Callithrix jacchus: one gene and its partners. The protein of the gene in region 1 binds, or shares a complex with, the protein of each later gene. Links are inferred from orthologs where the notes say so. Each region holds a gene or a part of one and is shown in the gene's direction. Other genes may lie near its edges. The genes, in order: guanine nucleotide-binding protein G(s) subunit alpha isoforms XLas, FZD3, SCTR, HRH1, olfactory receptor 51E2, HRH2 and GPR21.

Region 1 (4,240 bases):
GGATCGCCCCGTGCGGTGGTTCGCTCGCCTGCGGCTGGTATACAGCGGCCCGCGCCATGCGCCCTGCTTGCTGTAGCCCGCCCTCTGTAACACTGATCCAGCCTCTTCTCCCCCAGGGTTCTGCAGACCAGGTGACACCCTACCCAGCTGCTCTGTGCCTAAACGTGGCTCAACAGTCTGTCAATCACTGTTGAGACAGACCCGATACGCCCCTAATCACTGTTGAGAAAGACCCGATACGCGCCTGCCGGGTTTTACGTGACCCCTAGCAACAGCTTTTCTCAGGGGCTCAAATCTCTCTGCAGACCCCAGACCAGAACACAGCATGTGCACGCACCAAGGCCACCAGGTGATGTGGGTGTTTACCTTCCGCTGGCTCTGAGCCCACCGCAGCACGGTAGCGGGAGCGCAGCTGCGAGGGCAACCGCCGGGTTTGTGGCTGGATGGCGGGCTCAGTGCTACCTCAGCCGGCTCTTGCAGTGGAAAAGTAAAGGGCTACACTAAGATACCCAGAGCGAGAGGAGAGGGGCTGGAAGGGTGCTGGAGACAGGCTGTAGTGGGGCTAGAGAAGCGGACTGACCGGCTCTGCGGCGGGCGCCTGAAGCTGCGAGCCACGCACCTCAGCTGTGGTTGCCGCGCGGCACGGTGTTTATCAGTGGGTTCAGTGCGCACGGCACAGTCCATTCTCCGAAACCACCCCAAACCGGCCATAAACCGCAACCAAAATCCCCTTTAATCCTTCCCTGGAACAGTAGGACCTGTGAAACTCTGAGACCAATTTGTGGGGTTCCCTTTGAGCAGCACGGGTCCCACCCCTCCATCGGTACCACCGCAGCTACTGCCTAGGGGGCTTTGCTCGCGGCGGTGCGCACCTGAGACCCTCTTATTCCCCTGCGTCACCATCCACATAAACGGCGGAGCACCCTGCCTGCACCGCTATGGGCTACTGTAGAGACCCCTAGAGTGTGATGGGGATGGGGTCTCTTAAAGTGCTTTACCGGAGCCAAACTCAGCGAGCGACAAGCAAAAGCAGCAAAAAGTACACCCAAGGCATTTAAAAAACACATTATGCGCTCGCACACTCGGCATCCCCTCGCCCTCGCCTCTCTCTGCTTCTCTGGTGGGCCCACGACCACCTGTCGCATCCCTGTGCACACCTGCGCCCCCTTCCCAGGCACCAAAAGTCTTGCGCTCTGGACCAGGGACTTGAGATCCAGGGCTGCCTGGAGGCTGGGGGCTATGACTCAGGGGTTCGGGGGTGTCCTGGGGTGATGAAACCCTTCTTCAGTCCCCCTCCCCCGAGGAGTCTGTTGGGTTGGGGAGGGAGGGTTTCAGCTCCTGTACTCCAGCGTCCCGAGGCCCACGTCTTGCGTCACGTGTCCTGCAACGCAGGAGATCTTTCTCTGGACAGGGGAGAAGCGAGGAGAAAGACTCCAAATCAGTCGGAGAGAGGAGTGGAAGGAGCCAAAACATCCCTGCGAGGCCTGCGCTCATCAGCCCCCTTACCCAAAGTCCTGGGCTGCTGGTGCCGGGAGCAGGCTCCTGGAGCCGGAGCCAGCTTGGCACTGGAACCGGCGTCCTCTGGTGGCAGAGAGAGAGCGCTACTGGCGATTTTCGGACCGAATCGGCACGCTCGTCAGATCCAAGCAGGCGGGACTGGCCTGGAGCAGAAAGAAAAAGAGAGGAGGGTATAAGGACAGACCAAGGAAGAGGGGCTGGAGGTGCAGCCTAAGGGGATAAAAAGTGGCCTGGAAGGAACCAAGACTCCACCAGTAACAATTGGGTTGCTTCAGCCTCGGTCTAGGGTTCCAGGCCCTGAACCCCCCAACCTCACAAGGGTTGGAAAGTGAGGCTGGAGAACTTTCCAGCTGGTACTTTGATTTTTTTCTAAAATTTTTTTTTCACCCTAGTTCGGTTGGGTGCTCCGTCCTACGGAGCCCCAAACTTATTTTAAGAAGCCGCCACCGTGTTATGGGCGTGCGCAACTGCCTCGACGGCAATAATATGTCAGGACAACACGATATCTCCCCTGAAATCGGGGAACAGCCCGAGCAACCACCTTTGGAGGCCCCAGGGGCAGCTGCCCCCGGTGCTGGGCCTAGCCCAGCCGAAGAGATGGAGACCGAACCGCCTTACAGCGAGCCCATCCCCCTCGAGAATGACGGCGAGGCCTGTGGAACCCCAGTGGTCTCCAGGCCCAACTTTCAGGTTCTCAGTCCGCCCTTCAAGGAAGCTGGAGCCCATGGAAGCTACAGCCCACCTCCCGAGGAAGCCATGCCCTTCGAGGTCGAACAGCCCAGCTTGGGAGGCTTCTGGCCCACACTGGAGCAGCCTGGATCCCCCAGTGGGGCCCAGACAGGCCTTGAGGCCTTCGGCTCAGCACTCATGGAGCCTGGAGCCTTCGGTGGTGGCAGACCAGGTGTGGGAGGATACAGCCCTCCACCAGAAGAAGCTATGCCCTTTGAATTTGACCAGCCTGCCCAGAGAGGCTGCAGTCAACCTCTCTTACAGGTCCCAGACCTTGCTCCAGGAGGCCCAGGTGCTGCAGGGGTCCCCAGAGCTCCTCCCGAGGAGCCCCAAGCCCTCAAGCCTCCAAAGGCTGGCTCCGGAGGAGGCTATAGCCCTCCCCCTGAGGAGACTATGCCATTTGAGCTTGATGGAGAAGGCTTTGGGGAAGACAGCCCACCCCCGGGGCTTTCCCGAGTCATCGCACAAGTCGACGACGGCGGTGGCCAGTTTGCGGCAGTCGCGGTCTCGAGTGCGGTCCGCCTCACTCCCGCCGCGAATGCGCCTCCCCTCTGGGTCCCAGGAACCATCGGCAGCCCATCCCGAGAGGCTGTCAGACCTCCTAACTTCACCAGCAGCAGCCCCCCGATGGAGATCTCCGGACCCCCACTTGAGATTGGCAGCGCCCCCGCTGGGGTCGACGACGCTCCCGTCAACATGGACAGCCCCCCAATCGCGCTTGACGGCCCGCCCATCAAGGTCTCCGGAGCCCCAGATAAGAGAGAGCGAGCAGAGAGACCCCCAGTTGAGGAGGAAGCAGCCGAGATGGAAGGAGGCACAGCCACCGATGCCACGGAGGGAGGAAAAGTCCCCTCTCCGGGGGACAGATCCCCTGCCGCCGGGGCAGCCTCAGCGGATCCCGCAGCCAGGGCGGCCCCTGCAGCCCCAGCCGATCCCGACTCCCGGGCAGCCCCAGCCGATCCCGACTCCGGGACAGCCCCAGGCAGTCCCGACTCCCGGGAAGCCCCAGCCGATCCCGACTCCGGGACAGCCCCAGCCGATCCCGACTCTGGGGCAGCCCCAGCCGATCCCGACTCTGGGGCAGCCCCTGACGCCCCAGCCGATCCAGATGCCGGGGCAGCCCCTGACGCCCCAGCCGATCCTGACTCCCGGGCAGCCCCTGACGCTCCCGGCGCCCCTGCGGCTGCTGAGACCGGGGCAGCCCCTGTCGCCCCAGCTGCGCCTGACGCTGGGGCCCCAGCTGCCCCAGCCGCTCCTGCCGCCCGGGCAGCCCCAGCAGCCCGGGCAGCCTCTGCAGCCCCTGCCTCCGGGGCCAGACGCAAGCTCCATCTCCTTAGACCCCCCAGCCCCGAAATCCAGGCTGCCGATCCGCCTACTCCACGGCCTACTCGCGCGTCTGCCTGGCGGGGCAAGTCCGAGCGCAGCCGCGGCCGCCACGGGTACTACGATGAAGGGGCGGCCAGCAGCGACGATGACTCCAGCGGAGACGAGTCCGACGATGGGACCTTCGGATGCATCCGCTGGTTTCAGCATCGGCGAAACCGCCGCCGCCGAAAGCCCCGGCGCAACTTACTCCGCAACTTCCTCATGCAAGCCTTCGGGGGCTGCTTCGGTCGATCTGAGAGTCCCCAGCCCAAAGCTTCACGCTCCCCCAAGGTCAAGAAGGTACCCCTGGCGGAGAAACGCAGACAGATGCGCAAAGAAGCCCTGGAGAAGCGGGCCCAGAAGCGTGCAGAGAAGAAACGCAGCAAGCTCATCGACAAGCAACTCCAGGACGAAAAGATGGGCTACATGTGTACGCACCGCCTGCTGCTTCTAGGTAATGCGGCGGACTCTGCCTGTCGGCAGCAGGGCCGCCAGGGAACCGGGGAGGGGGTGGCAGGGCTGCCCGGTGGGACGCGCGGGGCTCGGCAGTGGGAGGAGGGGGTTCAGCCAAAGGCAGGAAGAGCCTGCTAGAAAGTTCCAGGGAGGGACCCTAACTTTGCCCTGGGAG
Region 2 (3,500 bases), on another chromosome or scaffold:
TAGTCTTCTTTGAACCATTGATTTGAAACCCATACCTGTTTGAAAAATAGATTAGTCTAAATGAAATTTTTGAAATTCTTGGTGTTACTGTATCCGTATTCAACAGGGAGTAATGTTCCCTTTAATTTTTTTAGTTGCAAGTAAATGAACATGCTACATGAGCAATAAACTACAAAGACCAAACTTACATGGATATTTTAAAACTACAGTCAAATAAAACTTTCAACAGTTATTTGACATATTTAATGATATGCATAATTGTTACTGTGCTGTATGGTAATTAAGATAAGTATGTTTTTAACTGTGGTTAATAACAGTTTTCTATAGACGACCTCAACATTTGTGGGGAGAAAAAAAATATGGCAGGCCAAGAAGCTGTTTCAGAAATTTCTGGTACAGAACGTATGGGGAGTTTGAAGGCGTTTTGAGCAGGGTTTGCTTTTAACCTCATTTCCTAATTCTAGGGACCGCAGACTTTTCTTTTTCTCTTCTGTTAGTCAAGACCGTCTACTAAAGGGAGAAATGGGGAAGATTCTGCCACTGTTTTACTTTCTCCCAATAGTTTTCTGCCTGGTAACTGAAGCTTGGGACATAGAGGTCCCAATCATTGATAATGTGCAAAGGACAGTTTCTTTCCCTGCTTAAGTCAAAGCAGTTCCAGGTTTCATGTCTAAGTTATCATGGGTGCTAGTATTTGAGTTGTCCTATTCATCGGGATCTTTGAGAATTTCTGAACCTGAATTTTTCATCTTTTCCCAACCTAGGCTCACCACAACAAACATATTCAGTGCATATGAAACAAAATGAAATAAAAGCAAAGTTAATATCATTACTAAACCAAATCAAAATGTGATAGGTTAGAATGTGTTTTTTTCATACCAGACCTGCCCTCCATTCCATCCATACCCTCTCAGCTCTGATTGAGAATCAAATGTATTTTTGCCCCTGGCAAGTACATACAAGTTAGAAATTCTAAAGCTCCATGGAACTAATAACTGGGCATTTTTCCTATTTCTGCTGTGACTTTTTAGGGATGATTTCTCTTCTCTGTGCAGCATGGCTGTGTGTAATGACCATTTGTTGATGAAATATTCCTAAGTCTAGTGCTCCATCTATGCAACTAAATTTTTGTATTATCTTAAAAAAAATGTAATATTGTGAAAACTTCCTAATATTTTAGAACCTTCTATATGTCAGTTCAGTATTGGTTGATAGAGGTAGCATTTGTATAAACTTGTTCAGTGATTAAAATGTCTAATGTTTAATACTGAGTTACCATTTATAAAGTATTTTTGCATACCTTATCTTATGATTCACTCATATCATCCTTGTGAGCAAGGTGGTATTGGAATCATTTTCAAGAAGAAAAATTCTGGGTGCATAGAACTTAAGTGGTATGTTTACACAGCTAGAAAGAGGCTTGAATCTGTATTTTTTGACTTAATTTTCAGACCACTTTCACGGATGTCTTCTGCCACATCAGTTAATGTAAAAATATACTATTAAAGATTAAAACATACAATTTTAAGTTCGATAATTTAGGTTGTAAGCATAATATATATCATTTAAATAAAATTTAGGACAATAGCATAAGAATTTTTCAAAATGGGTCAATTATATATTGTGGCCGTTGAAAGATTGTCATCGGCTGGGTGCGGTGGCTCAAGCCTGTAATCCCAGCACTTTGGGAGGCCAAGGCGGGTGGATCACGAGGTCAAGAGATCGAGACCATCCTGGTCAACATGGTGGAACCCCGTCTCTACTAAAAATACAAAAAATTAGCTGGGCATGGTGGCGTGTGCCTGTAATCCCAGCTACTCAGGAGGCTGAGGCAGACTTGCCTGAACCCAGGAGGCGGAGGTTGTGGTGAGCCGAGATCGCGCCATTGCACTCCACCCTGGGTAACAAGCGTGAAACTCCATCTCAAAAAAAAGAAAGATTGCCATCATAGATGAAAAGTTAAACCATGTATTATAGAAGCAACTAAGGGAAGAAAATTAAATTTGCATTTAAATACTATTTAAGGATCATTTCAGCTATAGCATAAATGATAAAGTAGAAAAATTAGGTCTATAAAGTACCCATATATTGTTAACTGTTAGGTCAGTATAATATCTCTCATCAAAGATTTTTAATGTCAAGTCCATAATACTTTGAGAGGAAATGACTAACGTCTCTCATTTTTAAAATAATACTTTTCAGATATTTCAGTCGAAGGAAGAAATAGCTCTTCTCCTAAGATGGAATCTGTGGTTTGGGAATGTGGTTGATCAACTTGATTTGTTGGCCAAATGTGCCCCATGTAATAAAATGAAAAGAAGAGACAAGATGATGTCATTTTCCCATGTTGTGAAACCAAAAACAAACGCCTTTTGTGAGACCAAGCTAACAAACCTCTGACGGTGCGAAGAGTATTTAACTGTTTGAAGAACTTAACAGTAAGATATAGAAGAAGTACCTTCAAGCTGAGATCTGCAGGTGTATAAATATCTAAAATACATATTGAGTAGGCCTGATCATCCGAATCTTGTTCAGATCCGGGAAGGATGGCTGTGAGTTGGATCGTCTTCTGTTTTTGGCCCTTGACTATGCTCATGGGGCATATAGGTGGGCACAGTTTATTTTCTTGTGAACCTATTACCTTGAGGATGTGCCAAGATTTGCCTTATAATACTACCTTCATGCCTAATCTTCTGAATCATTATGACCAACAGACAGCAGCTTTAGCAATGGAGGTAAGACTTGATCTATTATTTGACGTATCTTAGTAAGTGACTCTTAGGTTGGCCCATCAACCAGTCTAATGAGTATGTTTGACAAACAGGAAAATAATATGCTATTTTAAATTATATCTTAAACATTTAAAATTTTATACGTTTTGCTTCAGACTTTAATAGATTGAAGAATTCATGTTTGGTGAATGTTACTTTTATATTTTAGACATTATACTTTTATAAAGAAATTTGAAACAACAGAAAATGAGACATTAATAGCCATTAAGAAGTTTAAATTTTAAGAATAACTCCCAAGCAATGAAAAAGTGTTTGTCCGTATGAGTTATCTGTTCTTGATCTCACAGAATTTTATGAAAGTTTGCTGCCTTATTTGAATTTTTTAATGGTAATTCTTCAGCATTTTAAAATGATTTTAGTTTAGAAACCATTTCAAATTTAGAAACTATGAACACTTTAATTGATATAGTTAATAATAGGTTTAATTAAGTGTATGTATGCCTATAAGGGTTTTGGAATTGAGGACAGGAGTATATATACCAGATAAGAACTAGGAGGCAGCAAAAAAAAAAAAAAAAACAGAACTAGGAGGCAGTAACCAGTGGTAATAATAGCATAGGCTTTGAGTTAGACCAACCTGGGTTTGAATTCTACCTCTACCACTTTCTAGCTGTATACTTTGGCCAAGTTATATCAATTTTCTCTTACAAGCATAGTTTCTTTGCTTGTAACTTAGAGGCTTCTGTAAGGCACAAAGTGAAAATACAT
Region 3 (3,500 bases), on another chromosome or scaffold:
TGTTTCATCTCTGTCCCTACGTACTATCCCCATCTTTTTAAGTAAATTCAAGACATCATGTTGTTTGATCTGCAAACACTTTAGTATGTATTTCTAAAAGGCAGGGGCTTAAAGAACACACACAACTAATAACACAATCTCTGTCGTACACTCTTTTTTTTTGAGACAGAGTCTCATTCTGTAACCCAGGCTGGAGTGCAGTGGCGCAATCTCGGTTCATGGCAACCTTCACATCCCGGGTTCAAGCAATTCTCCTGCCTCAGCCACCTAAGTAGCTGGGATTACAGGCATGTGCCACGACACTCAGCTAATTTTTGTATTTTTAATAGAGACGGGGGTTTCACCATATTGGTCAGGCTGGTCTTGAACTCATTGACCTCGTGATCTACCTGCTTCAGCTTCCCAAAGTGCTGGGATTATAGGCGTGAGCCACTATGCCTGACCTTCATATACTCTTTAAAAATGTATTTAGCCTTTCTGATTGTATAAATAATGCTTGCTTATTGTGACTAATTTGGGAAATAAGGAAAAGTTAAAAAAAAAAAAAGAAAAACAAGAAGAAAAAAATCTATAATCTCATAACCCAGAAATAACCTCTGTTGGTGTTTACTTCTGTCTCTTTTCTGTCCACAAAGACACACATACACACACACACACACACCCATAACTGGGGTCACGATGTGTATGGTTTTGTAACCTGCTTGTTTTGTTTAATTCTCTATCATGCCCATCATGAACATTTCTTTATGTCATTAAAATTCTTCAAAGTCTTCATTCTTAATGATCGCAGAATCACTGTGGAAATTAGTAAACTTGCTGTCTTGTGTGAGGCCTGCCCTATATACACTGTAGCACAGCTAATTCCCTCCCCGAACAGTGAAAAATGTCCTTGGACCCCAAGGCAGGGGAAGCCAGGCAACTGCAGCCCATGTGGTGGGCAGCACCCTCGGCCTGCTCGTGGCTCTGGGCCAAGCACACAGAGCTCCAGGCGTGCCTAAACCTCTTCGTGCCTCAGTTTCCCTGCGTGTAAGGTGGAGATCTTCCCACTTGCCTTGAAAGGCTTTGGCAAGGATTAAATGAAGCCCCTGGGACCAAGAGTCCTACAATTACTCAGGCCTAGCTGTGCTCCAAGTCTGTTTTGTTTCAAAGCCTGTCTTGAAGTGCCTTTTACTCTCTTTGACAGTAGTTTCCAGATCATGATGCCCGTTTATTGAAACTATCTGGGGATCTATAAAAGCTGCGGATACCCCCAGATATTGGGAACTGGGGACTGCAACCTGGACCAAAGGTCTCAGGTGATTCAAATGTGCGACAAAACTTGGAAACGAATGCCCTGAGTGTTTTTGCCCCTCAAATAGTCCCCAGTCTATGCAGCGGTCATTGATACCTGAAATTCTAAAGCAAACCCCTTCAGTTTTGCCACCAACTTTTGTTAAAATGCCGATATCCCTGAGAAGTTGTACAGATTAAGCCCACCAATGAGCTGATGAAAGACAGGTGGGGAAGTGAGCCTGCAGCTGGTGATTAAGAGACCTGGGGGCCAGGCGCGGTGACTCACACCTGTAATCCCAATACTTTGGGAGGCTGAGGCGGGTGTATCACCTGAGGTTGGGAGTTCGAGACCAGCCTGACCAACATGGAGAAACCCCATCTCTACTAAAAATACAAAATTAGCTGGACATGGTGGCCCATGCCTGTAATCCCAGCCTCTTGGGAGACTGAGGCAGGAGAATCACTTGAACCCCGGAGGCAGAGCTTGCTGTGAGCCAAGATTGCCTCATTGTGCTCCAGCCGGGGCAACAAGAGGGAAACTCCATCTCAAAAAAGAAAAAAAAAAAAGAGAGAGAGAAAGAGACCTGGGGAGGGCGCAGCTGGCTAGCTGGCTCAGGCCAGGTGGGTAGGGGCTGAGCACCTGCAGTAACCCTGTTGCCTCTATTCCTCTGGCAGGGACTGGTGGTGGCTGTCCTCTACTGCTTCCTCAACGGGGAGGTGAGTGGTCTTGGGTCACTCAGGTACCCCGGAGAGCTCCTAGCCATTGGGTTCCAGGTCAGAAGGAGCTACCTGGAGGGGTGGTGGGAAGGGGGATGGAAAGGGTTGGAGGGAATCCTGGGTCTGGTGGCGAGGGGCTCGGCCAGTTCTTTTAGGAGTCTGAGCTTGCTTAATGGGAGGAACAGAATCACCTGGAGGGATGTTAAAACCATGGCTGGACCCTGATCCCGGTTTCTCATTCCACAAAAATAAATTCTGTAGGTCTGGGGTGGGGTCTGGGAAAGTGTTTTTTAACAAGCACTCCTGGTGCCGGTGTTTATCTGTTCAGAAAATGCAGGAAGAAAGTTGGGCAGATCCCAGGTTCCTGACTGCCCTGCTGCTTGTTCAATGGGCGATCTCATCACTGCCCTGCTCTGGGCCTCAGTCTTCCCACGTGCAAAGTGGGTGACTCAGAGGAACTGTCTGCAGCTCAGTCCTTAGGGATCTTCAGATGAGCATGGACTCCTTGGGAGACTGCATACTCTAAGGACTCAAGCCTCGCATAGAGCATTTGGGTCAGGACCCTGGCTCTGGGCATACAGAGCTACGTAGTCAACATGAGCTAGGCCTTTCTGTGACTACCGACCATCTATCTGGTTTGCTGCACTTGAATGGGAATGACCTTTGATGTTTCCCAAGAATCAAATATCAAGCCTAGCCTCAAAGGTTCAGCTGCTCCAGCTGGGAATTGTGAAGTAAATTTACAAAGAGCAACTCCCTGGGTCCCAGATGAATTCTGAGCTTGGGTGGCTTCATGGGAATAAGTATCCAGTTGTCTCAGGTGCACAGTCCTTTCTTTGGGACATAATGTAATGAGATTGCAGGTGCATATGCCCAGGAGAGAGGGGACCCTCAGTAACTACTGGACATTGGGGCTGAAAACGGTCAATCTGAGTAGCCTGCAGGCTAGGGGACAGGTCAGCTGGGCAGGAGCAGCAGGGCCTGTGTGGAGTCCCCAGGGGAGTGAGTTGGGTTCCAGGCACAGAACTGTCCTCTCCTCCTGGGCTGATGGCTGGTCTCCGGTCTCCCGGGCAGGTGCAGCTGGAGGTTCAGAAGAAATGGCAGCAGTGGCACCTCCGTGAGTTCACAATGCATCCCGTGGCCCTAAACTCTTCCTTCAGCAACAGCACCAAGGCCAGCCACTTGGAGCAGAGCCAGGGTACCTGCAGGACCAGCATGATCTGAGAGGCTGGAGCAGAGCCACCCATGGACAGAGACCAAGATGGGTCCTGAGAAGGCTGGACACTACTGCAGGACAGCCTGTTTTCCCAGAAGACACCCTATGTCCTCCTTCAGCTGAAAATGCCCCTCCTCAGGCCCTGGACCCCTCAGAAGGGACGTGGGGCACTGTGGGGCAGGATAAGGCCTGAGATTTGGTTTGTTTGCTCTTATGGGAAGAGTAGTTCAGGGGTCCCAGAAAGGGACAGGGAAATAAGTGGTGCCTGGGACAAGATTTGGTCTATATTTGTCCA
Region 4 (3,973 bases), on another chromosome or scaffold:
TCGACCTCTCTCTCCCAGTTCTGGAAAGGAAGACAGCCAGGAAGAATCCTCAGGCTCCCAGAGCCAGGGACAGAGGTTCCCTGGGACTTGCCGAGGGGCCTCACCCTAACCCCACCACTCCCCTCACCTCGCTGCCCAAGATGGCACAGGATGCTAATTAAAACACAGCCTATTGGCCGGGTGTGGTGGCTCACGCCTGTAATCCCAGCACTTTGGGAGGCCAAGGCGGGTGGATCACGAGGTCAAGAGATCGAGACCATCCTGGTCAACATGGTGAAACCCTGTCTCTACTAAAAATACAAAAAAAATTATCTGGGCATGGTGGCGCGTGCCTGTAATCCCAGCTACTCGGGAGGCTGGGGCAGGAGAATTGCCTGAACCCAGGAGGCGGAGGTTGCCGTGAGCCGAGATCGCGCCATTGCACTCCAGCCTGGGTAACAAGAGTGAAACTTTGTCGCAAAAACAAAAAACAAAAAAACAAAAAACACAACCTATTTTGAAAGGCGGACCCATTCATCAGGACAGGCTAGGGATAAATAGAAGAGAAGTGTGACGTTACAGACCCTGGGTCTCCTTAGTTCCCCACGAAACCTCTAGGGGTAGGGTCCCTATCTGTCAATCTTGTTCCACCTTTGTCTGACTTTGCCTTTTTCCATTTTGGCGCCCCTAGCAGGAATGAGGGAGGGGCACGGGTATCACTATCTGTTTTTTTCAGTCTACCTGTGATTGAATCTGCCAACAATTGTTTCATCTCTATTTCCATCTCTGCCTCTTTGTCTTGATTTATCTGTGTCTGTCGTTTTGTGTGCCTGCAAGTGCGTGGGTGGGGATGGAGTTGTCGCACCAAGGTTCTGACCCTTCTGCCACCTGTCTTTCCAAACCCACAGAGCCATCCACCGCGCAGATCCGCGCCCGGGTACCCAGCAGGAGCAGCTCCAAACCTGGGGCGAAAGCCTGGAGAGGGTGTCCGAGCGAGAGGCGCGCCCCTCGCGTTCCCACCCTCTGCGGGGGCGGCCCTGGGCGCGTGGAGCCGGGTGCGGGGACGCTGCAGGCCCTCAGGTCCCGGGTCCCCGCCTTCCCCGCTGCTTGCGGGTGGGCCCCTAGGCGCGGCTCCTCCTCCTGCGCCCCGCCTCCCCGAGCTCTCCCCTGCGCCCCCGCCGCCGCCCCCGAGGCACACCGAGCAGCCTGGCCGCCGCACCACCAAACTTTCCCGGGAGCCAGCGCCGGTGAGTCGCAGCGGGGCACCGGCTTGGGCGGGAGCGGGGCCGCCGCAGCGAAACGAGGCAGCGCGCTGGCTGGGCTGGGATCCGGATATCCCTGCCGGGTGGCCGGGACCCCGAGAGCCGGCGGTTTGAGATGGGCGCTTGGGTACCCTCGCGACACGGGTGGCCTGGGTAGGGTGGCGGAGCGCGGTTCGCTCGGTGGCACCGCTCCCCTCTCCGCATTGTGGCCCCAGCACTCGACAGGCAGACACCTTTAGTTTCCCCAGGCTTGGGCAGGGTGCGCGCCCTGAGCGTCAGTCTTTGGCTCCAGCGCCCAGAGAAGGAGCCTTGTCTTCTTTGAGCCTCCCCAGGGTCTGAGTTTGCTGTTAACCCTAGTGCCAGCCCATCGGTTGAGAGCGTTCTCTGTGCAAGGCTTTGGGCATACATTATCTGTTGCAATTCTCCTTGTAACTCGATGAACCGGGTATTGTTATACTAATGTTACAGAGGAGGAAAGTGAGGCTCGGGGAGGCAAAGTTGTGCCCAGCAGCACCAGCTGCTTAAAGGGAGAGAGCCAGGGTTTTGATCGGAGTCATCCTGGCCCAAATCACTTGACTACACTGGGGTGAGCCCCAGGCTCAGTGTCACCTGGAGTCGGAGGTGGGGGGTGTCCCGACCACCACCCACCCTCCTCCTGCAGTTTGGTGGCAACTGGGGGTGTGGAGGAAGAGGCGGATCACCTCCTCCTCATTGTACTCGAAAGAGGATGCTTTGGGAAAATGAGTGGATATTATGGCCAGGGAGTGGATTCCGGTGACAGAAGCGCACCGGAGCTGCTCTTTTAGAGATCAGATTCTGGAAGTTGCTCTCAGTTCTTCTGGAAGGAGGCCAGGAAGCCAGGAGCAGGAGCCAGAGTACAGCAGCTCCTCAAGGAAGCCACCTCTCCCTCTCTGTTGCCCGACCCCCTAACCCCCAGTCCTCCATGAAGATCCCACTCCTCCCCTCCTAAATCCCTGATCCCTCCGAGATGTCCGCTTGCCTGGCAGCTGGTCATGCAGAGATGTTCCAGGCAGAGTAGCCATCCTCCAGCAGAGGGCTCCCACCTCAGACCGGAGCAGACAGGAGGGGGCAGCCTGGAAGTCCCAGTGAGCAAGGTTCCCAGGCTGGAAGGTGCCTGAAGATCACATTTCATGATTGAGGGGCCAGAAACTAGTGACAGGAGCACAGACACACTGTGTCCCTGGAACATGAAGAAGAGGGGAATTGAGGGTCTTATAAGAAGGGTCTTTGGAGACAGCCAAAAACCAGCAGGGACTGGAAGAGAGGGAGGGCGGACACATGAGAGCATCATTATGCATTATTTCACTTAATACTCACACCATTCTTGCGAGGTAATTACTATTACTGAACAGATAGTCTACTGAGGCTCAGAGAGGTTAAGTGGCTTGCTTAAGATTGCCCAGCTGGCCCATGGCAGAGTTGGAGTTTGAACACCCATCTTGCCTGACTCCCTCTAGATTATGAATGAAACTCAGGTGGCAGGTGGGACCTTAGGTCCTTCTGTGCTTGTGGCTGGCAGCAGCAGAGGTGAATAGAGGGAAGCCAAGCAGCAGGTCTGCTGTTCACAGGAATCCCGGACAGCCCCATGTAAATCCCCAGTGTGATTCAGGCATTTCTCCTGGGGAGAGTCTATGGAGAAGGGCAGGGGATATCTAGCATTGATTTTGTTTTCAAATGTGACAGAGAATCCCGTGGAGGCAGGAGATGGGCAGGTGCCACCTGTTCATGATTTCAGAGCTGGGTGGAGGCCGGAGTTGCCTGCCAAGAGACCCTGCACCCCAGAGTAGCTTGGCCAATGCTGGGCTGGGAGTTGTCCTTCCTAGCACTCAGCTGAGGGTCTAAGGGAGGAGGAACTTGTACATGAGTCTCTTCCTCTTAAGCTCTCTGAATTCTGTGTTTGCACTTTCCTCTTCACAATGGAGTGTCTGGCTTTTCCTTAGCAGAAAACACATAGCAAAGACATCAAGAGTGTGGGATTCTGAAGCTCACCTGCCTGGATTCAAATCCCAGGACTGTTGCTTGTGAGTTTTGTGGCCTTGGTCAAGTTGCTACATGGCTCTGTTCCTTAGTTTCTCTGTTTTTAGAATGGGGGTATTCCTGGCACCTTCCTCCCTGGGTTGTAAGAGAATTCGGTGTGTTGATGTGCAAAAAGCACTTGAGTGGTGCCATGTAATACGTGTCAGTGTTAAGAGTCAGTTGTTATTATTGTCTCTATCAAGGTCAAACAGTCCAGCTCTGTATCCTGGCTCTGCCCCCTGCAGATTGCCCAGCCTCTGCAGGCCTCTTGCCTTCTCATCTGTAAAGTGAAAGTAAGTCTGATTAGATAGAGTGTGTGCCCCCGAAGTCTTACTGTAGTCTCAAGCTTTAAATAGCCTGAAACTTGAAGTCTTAGTGTGGACCCATATAAACTTCTGACACTCTGCTAGGCACTCAGCAGGCGTTGGGCATTGTCACGAGTGTCACTTGTGTGGCTGATATTGCTGCTGCACAGTGCAGCTTGAACTTTGGCTTGGTTCCGAGGAGCATGGCTTGGGACAGTTTTCAATCAGATGTTTTCTAGAGGGACAGAAAGCTTACGGTGGAACCTGAGCTCTGGCCCTTAGAACCGAGTGACTATGGGCTTTGGTTTCCTCATCTGCAAAATGCCATTAGTTCTATTTGCCAGTATCTATTTATCCAGATTAATGTTAGGTTGGAAATGTGGAGAAAAG
Region 5 (4,062 bases), on another chromosome or scaffold:
CGGATGATGAGTGAAGAATTCTGGGGTGGGGGGTTGCAATATAAGCAGGTTAACCTGTTTCAGTGACAGATAATCAATGAAGACACCTGCATAGTTTATTTCCAAGAGTTAGAGCCTCTGCTTCTTGCAGCCAAGGCTTTGGATTTTTAGAGAAAATTATCTCTAAAGATTAGGTCACCTAGGAAACCTAGCAGAGAAGAAGTTTCATGAAGTCAGAGCCCAGGTGTGTGGGTGAGGGTACGGAGTTGAGGTAAAGAAACACTGGGCTTCTAAAAAAGAAATGTCTCCCCCTGAGATGAATGACTTACTGGCACAAGTTTCAGGAAAGACAAGGCTCTAAAAATATCATTGTAAAATTAATAATACTTCTCCCAAAGTAAGGACTCAACTCAAACTATCCTTGGATGCAATTCAAATGGCCTTGTAGGAAGCTTTTGGGTGTGGAGGTACTCACCTGTGTCCTGCCATCCTGCCAGCACCTTTGTCTATGAAGAAGTCATTGGAGGGAACCACTACTTTTGATTTTATGACCACAGATGAGTTTCCTTTAATCCTAAAAAGATTGACTTTTGGAATTATTTTTCTTGGTTTTTGTTTATTTATATTCTTTTAAGTTTTAAAAAACAATGCCATTGCTGTGCATCTTATTCCTCTGGCTGACCTTAGAATTGAGGACTGGGAATCCTGAAAGTTGCAAAGTTATCTCCTATCCTCACTGCCTTGGAAGACCCATTATTCCACTCTCTGTCTAATTTCAACTCATGTTTCAAGTCTAAATAGGAAGATTCCTCTGTGATCATGCCTCTCCCGGAAGGAAGGAAGAAAGGAAGGGAGGGAGGGAGGGAGGGAGGAAGGAAAGGGGGGAGGGGAGGAGGGAGGGAGGGGGAGGGGGAGGGGGGAGGAGGGAGGGAGGGAGGGAGGGAGGAATGTGCGGAAAGTAACATAAGAAAGGCAGCCTTATCTGGAAGGAGCTTCCAAAACTGTATCTCTTAACACCTATCAGAATAAAAGGGCCACCAAAGCTATAGACCAGCAGGAAGTATCTGAGGGAATTTGAGAAGGCTACATTTTGGAAAAAGGATTGCTCTCTCATGGTTGCCTTTTAAAATTTTAAATAAACCTTGAAAGTAGTGACGCATAAATGAATTTGAGCTGTCACAGTCCCCGCTTTGGAAGAGGGCTTCAGGGCTTATGAAAGACCCTAAGTTGGGGTGGGAGGAGACAAAAGGGGTAGGATGTCAGTTTCAAGATTCCAGGGCATTCTCTGATTGTGCTCTATGTCCCTGCAGACCGCCGGTGCAACCTCACCCTCTCCAGTCACCTCTCCTCAGTTCCAGCTATGAGTTCCTGCAACTTTACACATGCCACTTTTGTGCTTATTGGTATCCCAGGATTAGAGGAAGCCCATTTCTGGTTTGGCTTCCCCCTCCTTTCTATGTATGTCATGGCAGTATTTGGAAATTGCATCGTGGTCTTCATTGTAAGAACGGAACGCAGCCTGCACACTCCAATGTACCTCTTTCTCTGCATGCTGGCAGCCATTGACCTGGCCTTATCCACATCCACCATGCCTAAGATACTTGCCCTTTTCTGGTTTGATTCCCGAGAGATTAGCTATGAGGCCTGCCTTACCCAGATGTTCTTTATTCATGCCCTCTCAGCCATTGAATCCACCATCCTACTGGCCATGGCCTTTGACCGTTATGTGGCCATCTGCCACCCACTGCGCCATGCTGCCGTGTTCAACAATACAGTAACAGCCCAGATTGGCATCGTGGCTGTGGTCCGCGGATCCCTCTTTTTTTTCCCATTGCCTCTGCTCATCAAGAGACTGGCCTTCTGCCACTCCAATGTGCTCTCACACTCCTATTGTGTGCACCAGGATGTGATGAAGTTGGCCTATGCAGACACATTACCCAATGTGGTATATGGTCTTACTGCCATTCTGCTGGTCATGGGCGTGGATGTAATGTTCATCTCCTTATCCTATTTTCTGATAATACGGACAGTGCTACAACTGCCTTCCAAGTCAGAGCGGGCCAAGGCCTTTGGGACATGTGTGTCACACATTGGTGTGGTACTTGCCTTCTATGTGCCACTTATTGGCCTCTCAGTGGTACACCGCTTTGGAAACAGCCTTCATCCCATTGTGCGTGTTGTCATGGGTGACATCTACCTGCTGCTGCCTCCTGTCATCAATCCCATCATCTACGGCGCCAAAACCAAACATATCAGAACGCGGGTGCTGGCTATGTTCAAGATCAGCTGTGACAAGGACCTTCAGGCTGTGGGAGGCAAGTGACCCTTAACGTTACACTTCCCCTTGTCTTCAATGGCTTGACAAACATAATTATTTATAACACTAGCTTAGTTCCAGTTGCCCACAAGCACATGAGTGCTTTTCTCTGGATGGAATAATCAACAAAAATATGATCCATCTACTTAGAAGACTATTATGTGGAATAATACATATTAATGGAGTATTATGTGATTTAATGAGAACTATAAAACCAAACAAGCTTATAATGTTAAGAAAAACAATAAAGATACTTGATTGAAACCAAGTTGAAAAATAGCATATGCCTTGGAGGAAATGTGCTCAGATTACTAATGATTTAGTGTTGTCTCTACTTTCAATTTTTTTATTATGAAAGTATTGGTTAACTGTCATGTACAACTTTTTAAAGAGGAAATATAATAGCTGGGCATGGTGGCATGCAACTGTAGCCCCCACTGCCCAGGAGACTGAGGTGGGAGAATCACTTGAGTCCAGGAGTTTGAGGTTACAGTGAGCCAGAATCACATCATTACACTTCAGCCTGAGCAGCAGAGCAAGACCCTGTCTCAAAGCATAAAATATAGTTTCATATCAAATGAAATAGCAAAAATTAAGCTGACCAATTTATGGAAGCCAGGGCTTGTCACAATCTCTACTGTTATTATGCATTATCTGGGAATTGATAAAGCCCTGAATAATAATGCCTATGAATATATCATGTGCACTTACAATGTTCTGGGCACTATGATAAGTGCTTTATGGGTTTTATGTGCTCTTCCTAATTTTATGGAGTAGGTACCATTTGAGTCCCTTTATTATAATTGAGAGAAATTAAGTTTATATTAGCAAGGGAACTAAAGTCACACAGCTTGTGGGCATTGTGCCAAGGTTTAAAATTAAATTGGATAATTGAATACAGTTACTTAACTACCATATTATATTGCTTCCTGTGTAACATCTGCCATTTATTTCCTCAGCTGTACAAATCCTCTGTTTTCTCTCTGCTATACGCTAACACCAATGGCTCTGTACTTGTGGTGAGAGATAACCCTGCCCTAGCTGTGGACAACAAATCTAGAATACTCTTCCTGTATGACAGCCACCTTTCATGGTCTTATTGCTTGCTTCTTTCCAGATTCAGGGAGAATGTTGTGGTATATCTGATCCTTGATCATGTCTTCATTTTTTTAATGTGCTCTGTGCCTGTCAAAAATTTTGAATGTACACCACATGCTATTGTCTGAACTTAAGTATGAGATAAAATAAAATTTTATTTTAAGTTTTGCTGAGTGTTATACCTATTGATTTTACATTTATAGAATCCTATAAATCAGAATTGGAGATGTGAGAGATTTCCTAGTCTTCTTTCTCACCAGTGCAGGAATCCTGACTGGAATCGTTCACACAGTGGTAAGGATGCTGAATGCATCTTTTTTCAAGGTAGGATATTCCCACTGTACTGTAAAGTAGATCCAGTGAGCGGCTGAAATCTTAACACAATCGTTGGGCCTATATGTTCCTTCTGTAGCTTCACTAAACAGGTTTTGGGTTCTGGACTTGGGTAGATAAACCACAAGGGAGACTCTATACCATAGGCTCTCTTAGGAGAAGGGAACCACAGGTACTTGATGTCTACTGATGATGGGCTCTGCTAGCATATAGATATGTGAGCACTAAACTGTGCTTCATTGTTCAGAGGCAGTAAAGTGGCTTCCAAAGTCATGCAGTTAGTCAATGTGTGTAGGCCAGGACTAAGGGGAGGAAACACAATGGAAGATATGGGT
Region 6 (4,162 bases), on another chromosome or scaffold:
AAGGTCTTGAAGCAGGGAAGTAGAAAGGCATGATCTGATTTACACTTTTCAGAGATTATCTGAGCTGCTTTGTGAATTGCAGGTGAGCAAGAGAGACATCCAGAAGACCAGTTTGGAGACTCATGTCATTCCAAGACGACAATGACTTGGATGCACAGTGCAATAATAGCCTCTCCAGAAGCTGTGAACTGAGAGCTAGGGGACCATCTTCTGCATTGCAGCCCCTGGCACAGGGCTGGTCCATGGTGACAGAATGGCTTGAGGTGGTGCATCAATCAGCGGTGGCATGTGTCTGAAATGCATGCTAGCTGAACCCTCCTCGCTTTCGCTATCCTTTGCCAAGCTTCCATGGAAATCCCCCTCCACACACCAGGTTCCCCAAGCAAACCAGGGCAGCCCAGCTGACCGCCTGCCTCCCCTGCACTGGGCTGCTGTCCAGGCCTGGCGAAAATCTCACCATCCTGCCCACCCAGGCTCCCTCCACGGAGATCTGCGTGGTTAACACAGTGGCCTTGATATCTTGATATTTAAGAGATGGGTTTTCCCAGCTGAGCCTTCATTTTCTCATCTGGAAGGTGGGCGTTATTCTCCCTATCCCCAAAATCCCTTTTCCGAAAGCCTACTTCCTTACTTCTCTCTCTCTCTTCATCCCTTCCTTCAATCAAAACAAAGCCCTAGGGTTTTTGAAGTTTTGCTGATTTATTTTGTGGTAATTAACAACCCCTGGACTAATTAATTTCTGCATTTGTGTTTCTAGATTTCAGATTCCAGAATTATTCAAGCTTTTCCCTCAAAACTAGTTATTTCCCCCTTCTAGCCTGACTCCACCTGGATCCTAAGTGCCCAATGTGAGGGATGCCACCTGACCTCCTGGATCTAGCGCCCACCCAGGGCAGGTCCTCCAGCTGTGGCCACTCAGCCAATATCTGCACAGGTGGACGCTGGGGCTCAGACAGAACGGTTGCCCGGTCAAGGGCGGGCCCTTGACCAATCAGCAGGGCGGGGAGAGGGAAGGAGCCAGGGGGAAAGGGGAGAGAAAAAGGGGGCAGTGTGACAGAAAGGAAGAGGAAGGGGCAAGTATCAGAGTCCGCGAGATGAAGAGGGAGGGTGTAGGAGAAAGGAAAACAGAAAGTGGGTGAGACTGTGGAGGTGTAGGCTGGGGGAGAAAATGTGGGTGTGTGCGCGCTGAGAGAGAGAGAGAGAGAGAGAGAGAGAGAGAGAGAGAGAGAGAGAGAGAGACAGGAGACTTGGAGAGGGAAGGAAGGGAAGGAGCGTTGAGAGCAAGGAGGAGCGAGTTGGGGGCGGAGACGAGGAAGTGGGTGCGAGGCGCGGGGCGCAGGCCGTGCGCGCGCCGCCTGCTCCATCCCTGCCCGGAGCGCAGCCGGTGCGGGCGTGGGATCAAGGCAAACCCGGTGCGGAGCCATCGCCAGCCGCAACGGAACCAGGTAACGCGGCCGCCGCCTCCCGGAGGGGCTTCGGCTCTGGGTGGGGTCCCGGAGGGTTTGGAGACCCTGCTTGAGCTTGCGGCGCCGCCCGTGGCGCTGCTTCGGGATGCCCAGTGGCCATCGTGGCCCCGAACCCGGGTTCGAGCCCCGGCCCCACTGCTCGCTGGCTGTGCCTGACCTTGGGCAGGTGCCTCCGCCTGTCCTGCCAGCCTGTTTCCTGTGACCCGCGGGGGTCGTGCCTGCCCCAAGGGGGAGTTGAGAGCTCGGGATGCAGTCCCGGTCCTCAGCAGTGCTTGGGGCGCGGGTCGGCTTTGTGTCTCCTCTGCAGGCAGAGGGGTGGATTTGGAAAGTCCACTTGCGCCGAAGCACTCCCCGTTTTGTCCCCGGGTCTGGGTGGTGGCATTTTCTCGCGGCGACGTGTCTGTCCGAGCATGGAGCAACTTTCTGCTACAGGGAAGCCAGCGGAGGGCGGGGGGGCTGGTGGGGAGGGGGCTTCTATGCCTCAGGGAACCAGAACGACCTGCCTTCATCCCGCTGGGCTGCTGCCTGCTGCCCGACGCCCGGAGCGTCGGGAGGCAGCACTCAGCGGTTGGGAGTCCTTGCTGAGGACATCTGGAGGGGGATTTGCCTGTGGGATGAGCCGCGCAAGTGGCCTCTGATAGGAATCCCAGTTTGGGCAGTGACCTTGAGCTTGAGAGCCTCAGTCAGTTTCCTTCTCCATGAAAAGGGCCATACTAATCCCCCACCCCTCCGTGAGGTGTTGGGAGGCGAAGGAAGTGGGGCAGGAAAGTGCCTGTGTGCTGTGATGTCCCCAGCGGCAGCTGTCACGCCCTAGCTCAGGTGGGTCCAGTCCTGGCACCAGTTACCTCCTGGGAAGTCATCTGTACGCTTTAGATCCCCTCTGTGTTCTTTGCCAGAGATGGTCAATCAGTGGAGCTGGGTGGTAGCTGGGTGGTGGTGGGCATGAAGCAGGACCTAGGGGATGTGGGGGGCCCAGAAGCTCCAGCCTCCACTCCACACCTATCCTGAGGCTGATGCTCCTCTAAGACATGACGTCTCTCAGATGGCAGTTTCTGTCCTGTGAAGACCCCTGGCATAATCTCTCAGCACCTCAGTTTCCTTATTTATAAAATGAAGTTATAAATTCCTACCTACTAATGAGTTTCCTGTCCCTGGAGGTTATCCAAGGCAATTGGATAGATTACATTTTTTGACATCTCTGGGTCTGGATGGTGGCATTTTCTCCTTATATCTGACCTAGGATATAAGGAGAATTCCGTATCATGAGAAAATAACCTATCTCGAGAACCTGCTCCTTGCAGGCCTGGTACTCGGTGCATTGCAAGTACGGCACTGGCTAGAGCCACCACAGCAATCCTGGGAAACTGGTGCCATCAAACCACAATTTACAGATGAGGAAACTGAGGGTCCCAGAGGTAAATGATTGCCATGTGGTCATACTGGTAAGAAGTGCCTGTGCAGAGACTGGATCCAAGTCTGCCCGCCTCCAGGATGCTCCTGGTTGTATCGTGCTGGCCCCAAAATATGACTGTATAAGTTAAGGTGGAGCACAGGGCCTGGCACCTGGCACGTGCACAATCAGCTCTGGCTTCTTGTTCCATGTGTCATGGGAAGGGCTGCTACAAAGCACTGGAGAAAGAGAGCCTGAAGGCTGGCAGCAGGGTTGCCGCACTCTTGCCAGTGATTTCTCGAAGGGTCTGGAAGGAAGGAAGGTCACTACTCAGTACTACATAGGAAGCAGATATCAGACTGACTCACCCGAGCCCACCAATTTCTCTGCTTCCTCCATCACCTTGTCCCAGTTAACCTTGTCTGTATTCATCTCAGCCTAGGCTGATTCTCCTGAGCTCATAGGCACATCCCACTCTCCATCCTAGGCTGATGATTAACCACTGACCCTCCCAGGCGAGGAGTCCATGGGAAAAACAAGACCAGCTGTGGTCCATCTCCGCCAACACCCCAAAGCAGGGGAAACAGGATTAAGTTCCAATCCCAAGGATTTAGTTCAGATTTGAGGAAGAAAACCCTGATGATGGGGAGAAGGGCGTCCCAGCAGGCTAGAGAAGTTCCTTTGCCAAAAATGTTTTAAAGAAGAGGAGTACATCCAAATGAAAGGGTGGAGATATGAACAAAGCCTCTTTCATGTGCAGAGATGTTCACCAACAGTCACAGAGTGTCTAAATGTCCAACAGGGAATCAATAAAGTTATGGAACAGCCACGTGACTACCGAAAGTGGAGAGTTTTTAATGAATGGAAACGTGTTTTGCATAGGCATACAGATGGCAGGGTCCCAAATGTGTGGCAAGAGCTTAGAAAAAAGACTGGGAGGACATAGGCTAGAGAGGGTTAACAATGTTTGCCCACAGATGGTGGGGTCATGGGAGATTTGTTCCCTGACTACTTTTTCTGGACTTTCCAGAGTTTATGCAATGAACATGTTCTTTAATAATTAGTGGCCTACCTGGCTTAGAGTTTTGAGAGCAAGAAGGAGGGTGCCTGATTGAAAAAAAGAGGTACTGGCTGGGTGTGGTGGCTCATGTCTATAATCCCAGCACTTTGGGAGCCACCAGAGGTAGGTGGATCATAAGGTCAGGAGATTGAGACCATACTGGCCAACATGGTGAAACCCCATCTCTACTAAAAATACAAAAATTAGCTGAGCATGGTGGTGTGTGTCTGTAGTCCCAGCTACTCG
Region 7 (4,024 bases), on another chromosome or scaffold:
GTCAAATATTACTATCAGGCTTATGCTTAAGTAGGTTTTTATTTTGGCATCATGGCTGCATCTGGGACTGGCCAGACAGCTGCTGCTGCTTCGGATTTAAAATGTAATTCATTGCATTCTGATTATGGGTGCCCATTTATCTGTAATAAGAAAATGTGTATAAAATGAGTAAAAACGAAAGTTGGATCACATGTTTTTGCTCAGGTGCATACCTTTTGGAATGCTTTCAAACACCAACATTTGTTTATTGTCTCAGAGATCCCTGGAGGAAAAGATACTAAAATTACACATTTTCATAGCATTCTATTAGCTGAAAATTGTCAACATTTATGACATTACCAGGAAAACCACAATCTAATCCCAGTTTGCATTGTTTTAAGTAGGCAGAAACAAGATTGTATATTCTAAGATACAAAGGCTTATTTGTGCCATGAAACTTCCTGTAATATTCATGCCTGAATAGAAGAAGGTACATTTTCTTTTTTGTCTTTTATTTATATTCTTGTATACTGCTCAGCAAAATCGAAGCAAGAAACAGCGTCTCAAAACTATAGGGTAGTGTCAAATACAGGAACGATGTAATTTCTCTGTGCTATTTCTGTAGTATTCAGAATAGGAGATACTTTATTTTTCTCTTGAAAAGTGATTTTAAAGTTTCTTGGCCAATATTCAGTGAATCATGAGAGACAAAATTAATGAATAGCCTTCTAGCTAGAACTTCTTGTACAGCTGAATTATGTTTCTCAGTTGCCATACGCCATACACTTAAAGGAAGTTAACATGCTTCCTTTCTTTAATATTGCTCTTTGTTCTTTGGGAAAATGCCGTAAGAAAATAGGAAGTACCCCTCTAGCAGTGTGTTTCAGTCTAATTACTGACACTGACACCCTGTTCTGTTACTACCCCTTCTCCTTGCTAGCAGCCTGAATTCTGCTTATCTACTAAAAGAGGGATTCCAAACAGACGAGGAAACAGCTTTCAAATGATATACTATAGGCGTACCAAGCTATTCCCACACTGCGCAGTCTGGAAATCAGGGGGCACCTCTTTGACGATGAATTCCAATTAGTTGCTAAAGATGCCAGTGTGTGTGCGTGTACAGGCGTTTTCTTTCCCCTCCCCCTTTCTTCCTTTTTCCAAGCCCCCTCTTCTCCCTGTTTCCCCTCCTACTCCTTTATCCCCTCCCTCTGTGTCTCAGTTCTGCAGTAGGCAGGGTTGAAGCACATTCCTGCTCTGCAAGGCTTTCTGTTAAGGATGTATTGTGGCTTTTGTTTGGATTGCAGCATGCAGAATTACAGGTAACATTCTGAAATTGAACTAAACAGTAAATTCTGTTGAAATGTTTTCAAAGAGGCAAAATATTATATTGGAATCAGTGAAGAAAATAAATTATCTTGGCTAATTTTATTAGTGATAAGTGTAGTGAAAGATTTTCATAAATGTTGCTAGCAAATTTCTTTTCTCTCCCATGTCTCAAATGAAAGGAAATGGGGGTAAATCAATCTAACCGTGATTCATTTTGTTTTATGCTGATCTTGAAAGCTTGATGTTGCTGCTGCTACTCTATACCGTACGGATCAGTTATATGGGGTGCTATTGTGGGTAGCCATGAATAGTGGTGCCGGTAGGGGTGGAGTGGGAGGGATGATGCCAGCCTGAGCTAGCCAGGTTCTTTGATTAGGGCATTGGATGTGAAATGTAAAATGCTCTCTCCTTTTCTTCTATCAGCTGTTCAGAGGAGACTCATTACAACTCCTGCTGAAGCTCCTAATCTTCTTCCCTTCTCTTCTGCCCTTTCCCCCTACCCTCACTTGGCCTGAAGACGTTGTCCCCAGAGTTTGCCTTACTCCCCTGGTGCTATGTGTATGATGAACTTGGCATTATGGCCGCGTTTGGAACTGGCCAGACAACTGCTGCTGGCTCTCCTTATTCCAAGAAGGATTTAAAGGGGAATTGCACTGCAGGCAATGCACCACAGCAGCAGCATCAGGAGCTTGGGGACTAAGGCTCCTCTGGCATTATTACATACATGCAAAGCTGACCGCAATGACAGCGGCTGCTCCTTTGAACTGTTGGAAGCAGCCAAGCGGCAGCATGAAGTGACAGATCACTCCAGAGCTCAAGATGAACTCCACCTTGGATGGTAATCAGAGCAGCCACCTTTTTTGCCTCTTGGCATTTGGCTATTTGGAAACTGTCAATTTTTGCCTTTTGGAAGTATTGATTATTGTCTTTCTAACTGTATTGATTATTTCTGGCAACATCATTGTGATTTTTGTATTTCACTGTGCACCTTTGTTGAACCATCACACCACAAGTTATTTTATCCAGACTATGGCATATGCTGACCTTTTTGTTGGGATGAGCTGCCTGGTCCCTTCTTTATCACTCCTCCATCACCCCCTTCCAGTAGAGGAGTCCTTGACTTGCCAGATATTTGGTTTCGTAGTATCAGTTCTGAAGAGCGTCTCCATGACTTCTCTGGCTTGTATCAGCATTGATAGATACATTGCCATTACTAAACCTTTAACCTATAATACCCTGGTTACACCCTGGAGACTACGCCTGTGTATATTCCTGATTTGGCTGTACTCGACCCTGGTCTTCCTGCCTTCCTTTTTCCACTGGGGCAAACCTGGATATCATGGAGATGTGTTTCAGTGGTGTGCAGAGTCCTGGCACACCGACTCCTACTTCACCCTGTTCATCGTGATGATGTTATATGCCCCAGCAGCCCTTATTGTCTGCTTCACCTATTTCAACATCTTCCGCATCTGCCAACAGCACACAGAGGAAATCAGCAAAAGGCAAGCCCGCTTCAGCAGCCAGAGTGGGGAGACTGGGGAAGTGCAGGCCTGTCCTGATAAGCGCTATGCCATGGTCCTATTCCGAATCACTAGTGTATTTTACATCCTCTGGTTGCCATATATCATCTACTTCTTGTTGGAAAGCTCCACTGGCCACAGCAATCGCTTCGCATCCTTCTTGACCACCTGGCTTGCTATTAGTAACAGTTTCTGCAACTGTGTCATTTATAGTCTCTCCAACAGTGTATTCCAAAGAGGACTAAAGCGCCTCTCAGGGGCCATGTGTACTTCTTGTGCAAGTCAGACCACAGCCAACGACCCTTACACGGTTAGAAGCAAAGGCCCTCTTAATGGATGTCATGTCTGAAGTGGCTCAGATACGGAGTTCCCCTGTGTATGTATGTGTTTTATCTCTAAGTATTTCTAATTCACTAGAAAATCTGGGACAGAATACTTTGACTCTAAGCAATAGCATACAAATGGTTTGTATGGATACCTTCTAAGTTTGTAGAAATGGTTTTCAAAAGTGCTTTTGAAGACTCAAGATCATGAAGACAAATTGCTCTTGGTTCCAATTTTTGAAATGTTTTGGAAATGACTACAGTTCTCAGATTTAAAATGAATAAAGCCATATCTAACACCTCTCTCCAGCTGGCATGACTGAACCTGGGTGTGAAAAGCATCAGCATTTTAAAAAGTCATCATTTTCTTGTCACTTTCTGGGTTCTTTCCAGCTATTTGGGCTTCATGTGCAATTGATTTCTTCTAACAGGGAGTAGTAAAACATAAATTAAGAAGTTTTAGAAATTACTTTTTATGTATACTAAAGTATAACTACACTGCAAGTTTCAACACTGTCATTTAGAAAGCCAAATGTTCTATATTTTATTCTCTTGAGAGAATTCTCAGTAGGGTGAATAATGTGAACATATAAACATTAATTTTAGAATTCTACAGTGAACCATGAAGCAAAAGTACAATCAACTTATACAGTTTATGAAAAACTGAGCTATTTTTTGTGCCATGCTTCACAGAGATCTAAAAATAAGTGTGCATAGAAGTGATCATGTTTGTAGTATTTTTGCCCATGCCTTTGTGTTATGTCTATATTTAGAATATCTGAATTGTTAGATTTCTCTTTTATAGCAAAATGTGTTTAAATAAGCTAAAAAGCAATTGATAGGCTGTTGGCTGTCGATTTTATACTGGTGACTATA

Evidence for each region.
Region 2: the proteins of guanine nucleotide-binding protein G(s) subunit alpha isoforms XLas (region 1) and FZD3 are in contact, whole or in part, in a cryo-EM structure (PDB 8JHI), measured with the Homo sapiens proteins. The link is inferred for Callithrix jacchus from reciprocal best matches to the Homo sapiens genes GNAS and FZD3. Residues at the interface, in NP_000507.1 of Homo sapiens: Lys34, Tyr358, Gln384, His387, Leu388, Tyr391, Glu392, Leu393, Leu394; in NP_001399840.1 of Homo sapiens: Arg232, Lys318, Ser321, Glu322, Leu397, Val400, Lys408, Lys413, Leu414, Phe417.
Region 3: the proteins of guanine nucleotide-binding protein G(s) subunit alpha isoforms XLas (region 1) and SCTR are in contact, whole or in part, in a cryo-EM structure (PDB 6WZG), measured with the Homo sapiens proteins. The link is inferred for Callithrix jacchus from reciprocal best matches to the Homo sapiens genes GNAS and SCTR. Residues at the interface, in NP_000507.1 of Homo sapiens: Gln35, His41, Val217, Phe219, Thr350, Tyr358, Phe376, Cys379, Arg380, Asp381, Ile383, Gln384, Arg385, His387, Leu388, Gln390, Tyr391, Glu392, Leu393, Leu394; in NP_002971.2 of Homo sapiens: Arg174, His178, Tyr239, Leu240, Leu243, Leu244, Ala245, Ser247, Phe248, Ser250, Glu251, Arg252, Leu320, Lys323, Thr326, Gln327, Thr329, Arg339, Arg342, Ser343, Leu347, Tyr388, Leu391, Asn392, Gly393.
Region 4: the proteins of guanine nucleotide-binding protein G(s) subunit alpha isoforms XLas (region 1) and HRH1 are in contact, whole or in part, in a cryo-EM structure (PDB 9LRB), measured with the Homo sapiens proteins. The link is inferred for Callithrix jacchus from reciprocal best matches to the Homo sapiens genes GNAS and HRH1. Residues at the interface, in NP_000507.1 of Homo sapiens: Gln35, Arg38, Ala39, His41, Lys216, Val217, Asn218, Phe376, Cys379, Arg380, Asp381, Ile383, Gln384, Arg385, His387, Leu388, Gln390, Tyr391, Glu392, Leu393, Leu394; in NP_000852.1 of Homo sapiens: Asp124, Arg125, Ser128, Val129, Gln130, Pro132, Leu133, Arg134, Leu136, Lys137, Arg139, Thr140, Ile213, Ala216, Val217, Gln219, His220, Cys221, His223, Lys412, Ala413, Gln416, Leu417, Cys471, Asn472.
Region 5: the proteins of guanine nucleotide-binding protein G(s) subunit alpha isoforms XLas (region 1) and olfactory receptor 51E2 are in contact, whole or in part, in a cryo-EM structure (PDB 8F76), measured with the Homo sapiens proteins. The link is inferred for Callithrix jacchus from reciprocal best matches to the Homo sapiens genes GNAS and OR51E2. Residues at the interface, in NP_000507.1 of Homo sapiens: Gln31, Gln35, Arg38, His41, Asp215, Val217, Phe219, Tyr358, Phe376, Cys379, Arg380, Ile383, Gln384, Arg385, His387, Leu388, Arg389, Gln390, Tyr391, Glu392, Leu393, Leu394; in NP_110401.1 of Homo sapiens: Met58, Tyr59, Asp120, Arg121, Ala124, Ile125, Cys126, His127, Pro128, Leu129, Arg130, His131, Ala132, Leu135, Asn136, Asn137, Ile220, Thr223, Val224, Leu227, Pro228, Ser229, Glu232, Lys235, Ala236, Thr239, Cys240, Lys294, Thr295, Lys296.
Region 6: the proteins of guanine nucleotide-binding protein G(s) subunit alpha isoforms XLas (region 1) and HRH2 are in contact, whole or in part, in a cryo-EM structure (PDB 9IXJ), measured with the Homo sapiens proteins. The link is inferred for Callithrix jacchus from reciprocal best matches to the Homo sapiens genes GNAS and HRH2. Residues at the interface, in NP_000507.1 of Homo sapiens: Gln35, Arg38, Ala39, His41, Asp215, Lys216, Val217, Asp343, Leu346, Arg347, Thr350, Tyr358, Phe376, Arg380, Asp381, Ile383, Gln384, Arg385, His387, Leu388, Arg389, Gln390, Tyr391, Glu392, Leu393, Leu394; in XP_006714928.1 of Homo sapiens: Arg116, Ala119, Val120, Met121, Pro123, Leu124, Arg125, Tyr126, Pro127, Val128, Ile205, Val208, Ala209, Gln212, Ala213, Arg215, Ile216, Ile219, Ser220, Trp222, Lys223, Lys231, Ala232, Thr235, Leu236, Leu291, Asn292, Arg293, Asp294, Arg296.
Region 7: the proteins of guanine nucleotide-binding protein G(s) subunit alpha isoforms XLas (region 1) and GPR21 are in contact, whole or in part, in a cryo-EM structure (PDB 8HMV), measured with the Homo sapiens proteins. The link is inferred for Callithrix jacchus from reciprocal best matches to the Homo sapiens genes GNAS and GPR21. Residues at the interface, in NP_000507.1 of Homo sapiens: Gln35, Arg38, His41, Val217, Pro321, Asp323, Arg342, Asp343, Leu346, Arg347, Thr350, Tyr358, Cys359, Pro361, Phe376, Cys379, Arg380, Asp381, Ile383, Gln384, Arg385, His387, Leu388, Gln390, Tyr391, Glu392, Leu393, Leu394; in NP_005285.1 of Homo sapiens: His61, His62, Thr64, Arg127, Ala130, Ile131, Thr132, Pro134, Leu135, Thr136, Tyr137, Asn138, Thr142, Pro143, Ile214, Ile217, Cys218, His221, Thr222, Asp224, Ile225, Arg228, Gln229, Arg231, Phe232, Arg249, Tyr250, Val253, Leu254, Asn308.

What each region holds. Positions count from the first base shown.
Region 1 is NC_133506.1:54,421,010-54,425,249, forward strand, and holds the start of guanine nucleotide-binding protein G(s) subunit alpha isoforms XLas, read left to right. Parts: upstream 1-1,440; 5' UTR 1,441-1,971; coding exon 1,972-4,066; intron 4,067-4,240. UniProt on the Homo sapiens protein: Guanine nucleotide-binding proteins (G proteins) function as transducers in numerous signaling pathways controlled by G protein-coupled receptors (GPCRs).
Region 2 is NC_133514.1:13,195,532-13,199,031, reverse strand, and holds part of FZD3 (frizzled-3), read left to right. Parts: intron 1-2,202; 5' UTR 2,203-2,546; coding exon 2,547-2,735; intron 2,736-3,500. UniProt on the Homo sapiens protein: Receptor for Wnt proteins.
Region 3 is NC_133507.1:104,042,776-104,046,275, reverse strand, and holds part of SCTR (secretin receptor), read left to right. Parts: intron 1-1,947; coding exon 1,948-1,989; coding exon of another isoform or gene 1,990-2,214; exon of another isoform or gene 2,215-2,355; intron 2,356-3,063; coding exon 3,064-3,213; 3' UTR 3,214-3,500.
Region 4 is NC_133516.1:68,377,143-68,381,115, forward strand, and holds the start of HRH1 (histamine H1 receptor), read left to right. Parts: upstream 1-1,173; 5' UTR 1,174-1,226; intron 1,227-3,973. UniProt on the Homo sapiens protein: G-protein-coupled receptor for histamine, a biogenic amine that functions as an immune modulator and a neurotransmitter.
Region 5 is NC_133511.1:70,104,858-70,108,919, reverse strand, and holds olfactory receptor 51E2, read left to right. Parts: upstream 1-1,295; 5' UTR 1,296-1,339; coding exon 1,340-2,302; 3' UTR 2,303-3,562; downstream 3,563-4,062. UniProt on the Homo sapiens protein: Olfactory receptor. Activated by the odorant, beta-ionone, a synthetic terpenoid. The activity of this receptor is probably mediated by G-proteins leading to the elevation of intracellular Ca(2+), cAMP and activation of the protein kinases PKA and MAPK3/MAPK1.
Region 6 is NC_133503.1:68,048,740-68,052,901, forward strand, and holds the start of HRH2 (histamine H2 receptor), read left to right. Parts: upstream 1-1,362; 5' UTR 1,363-1,445; intron 1,446-4,162. UniProt on the Homo sapiens protein: The H2 subclass of histamine receptors mediates gastric acid secretion. Also appears to regulate gastrointestinal motility and intestinal secretion. Possible role in regulating cell growth and differentiation.
Region 7 is NC_133502.1:171,660,020-171,664,043, forward strand, and holds the start of GPR21 (putative G-protein coupled receptor 21), read left to right. Parts: upstream 1-1,224; 5' UTR 1,225-1,298; intron 1,299-1,728; exon of another isoform or gene 1,729-1,822; 5' UTR 1,823-2,124; coding exon 2,125-3,174; 3' UTR 3,175-4,024. UniProt on the Homo sapiens protein: Orphan receptor.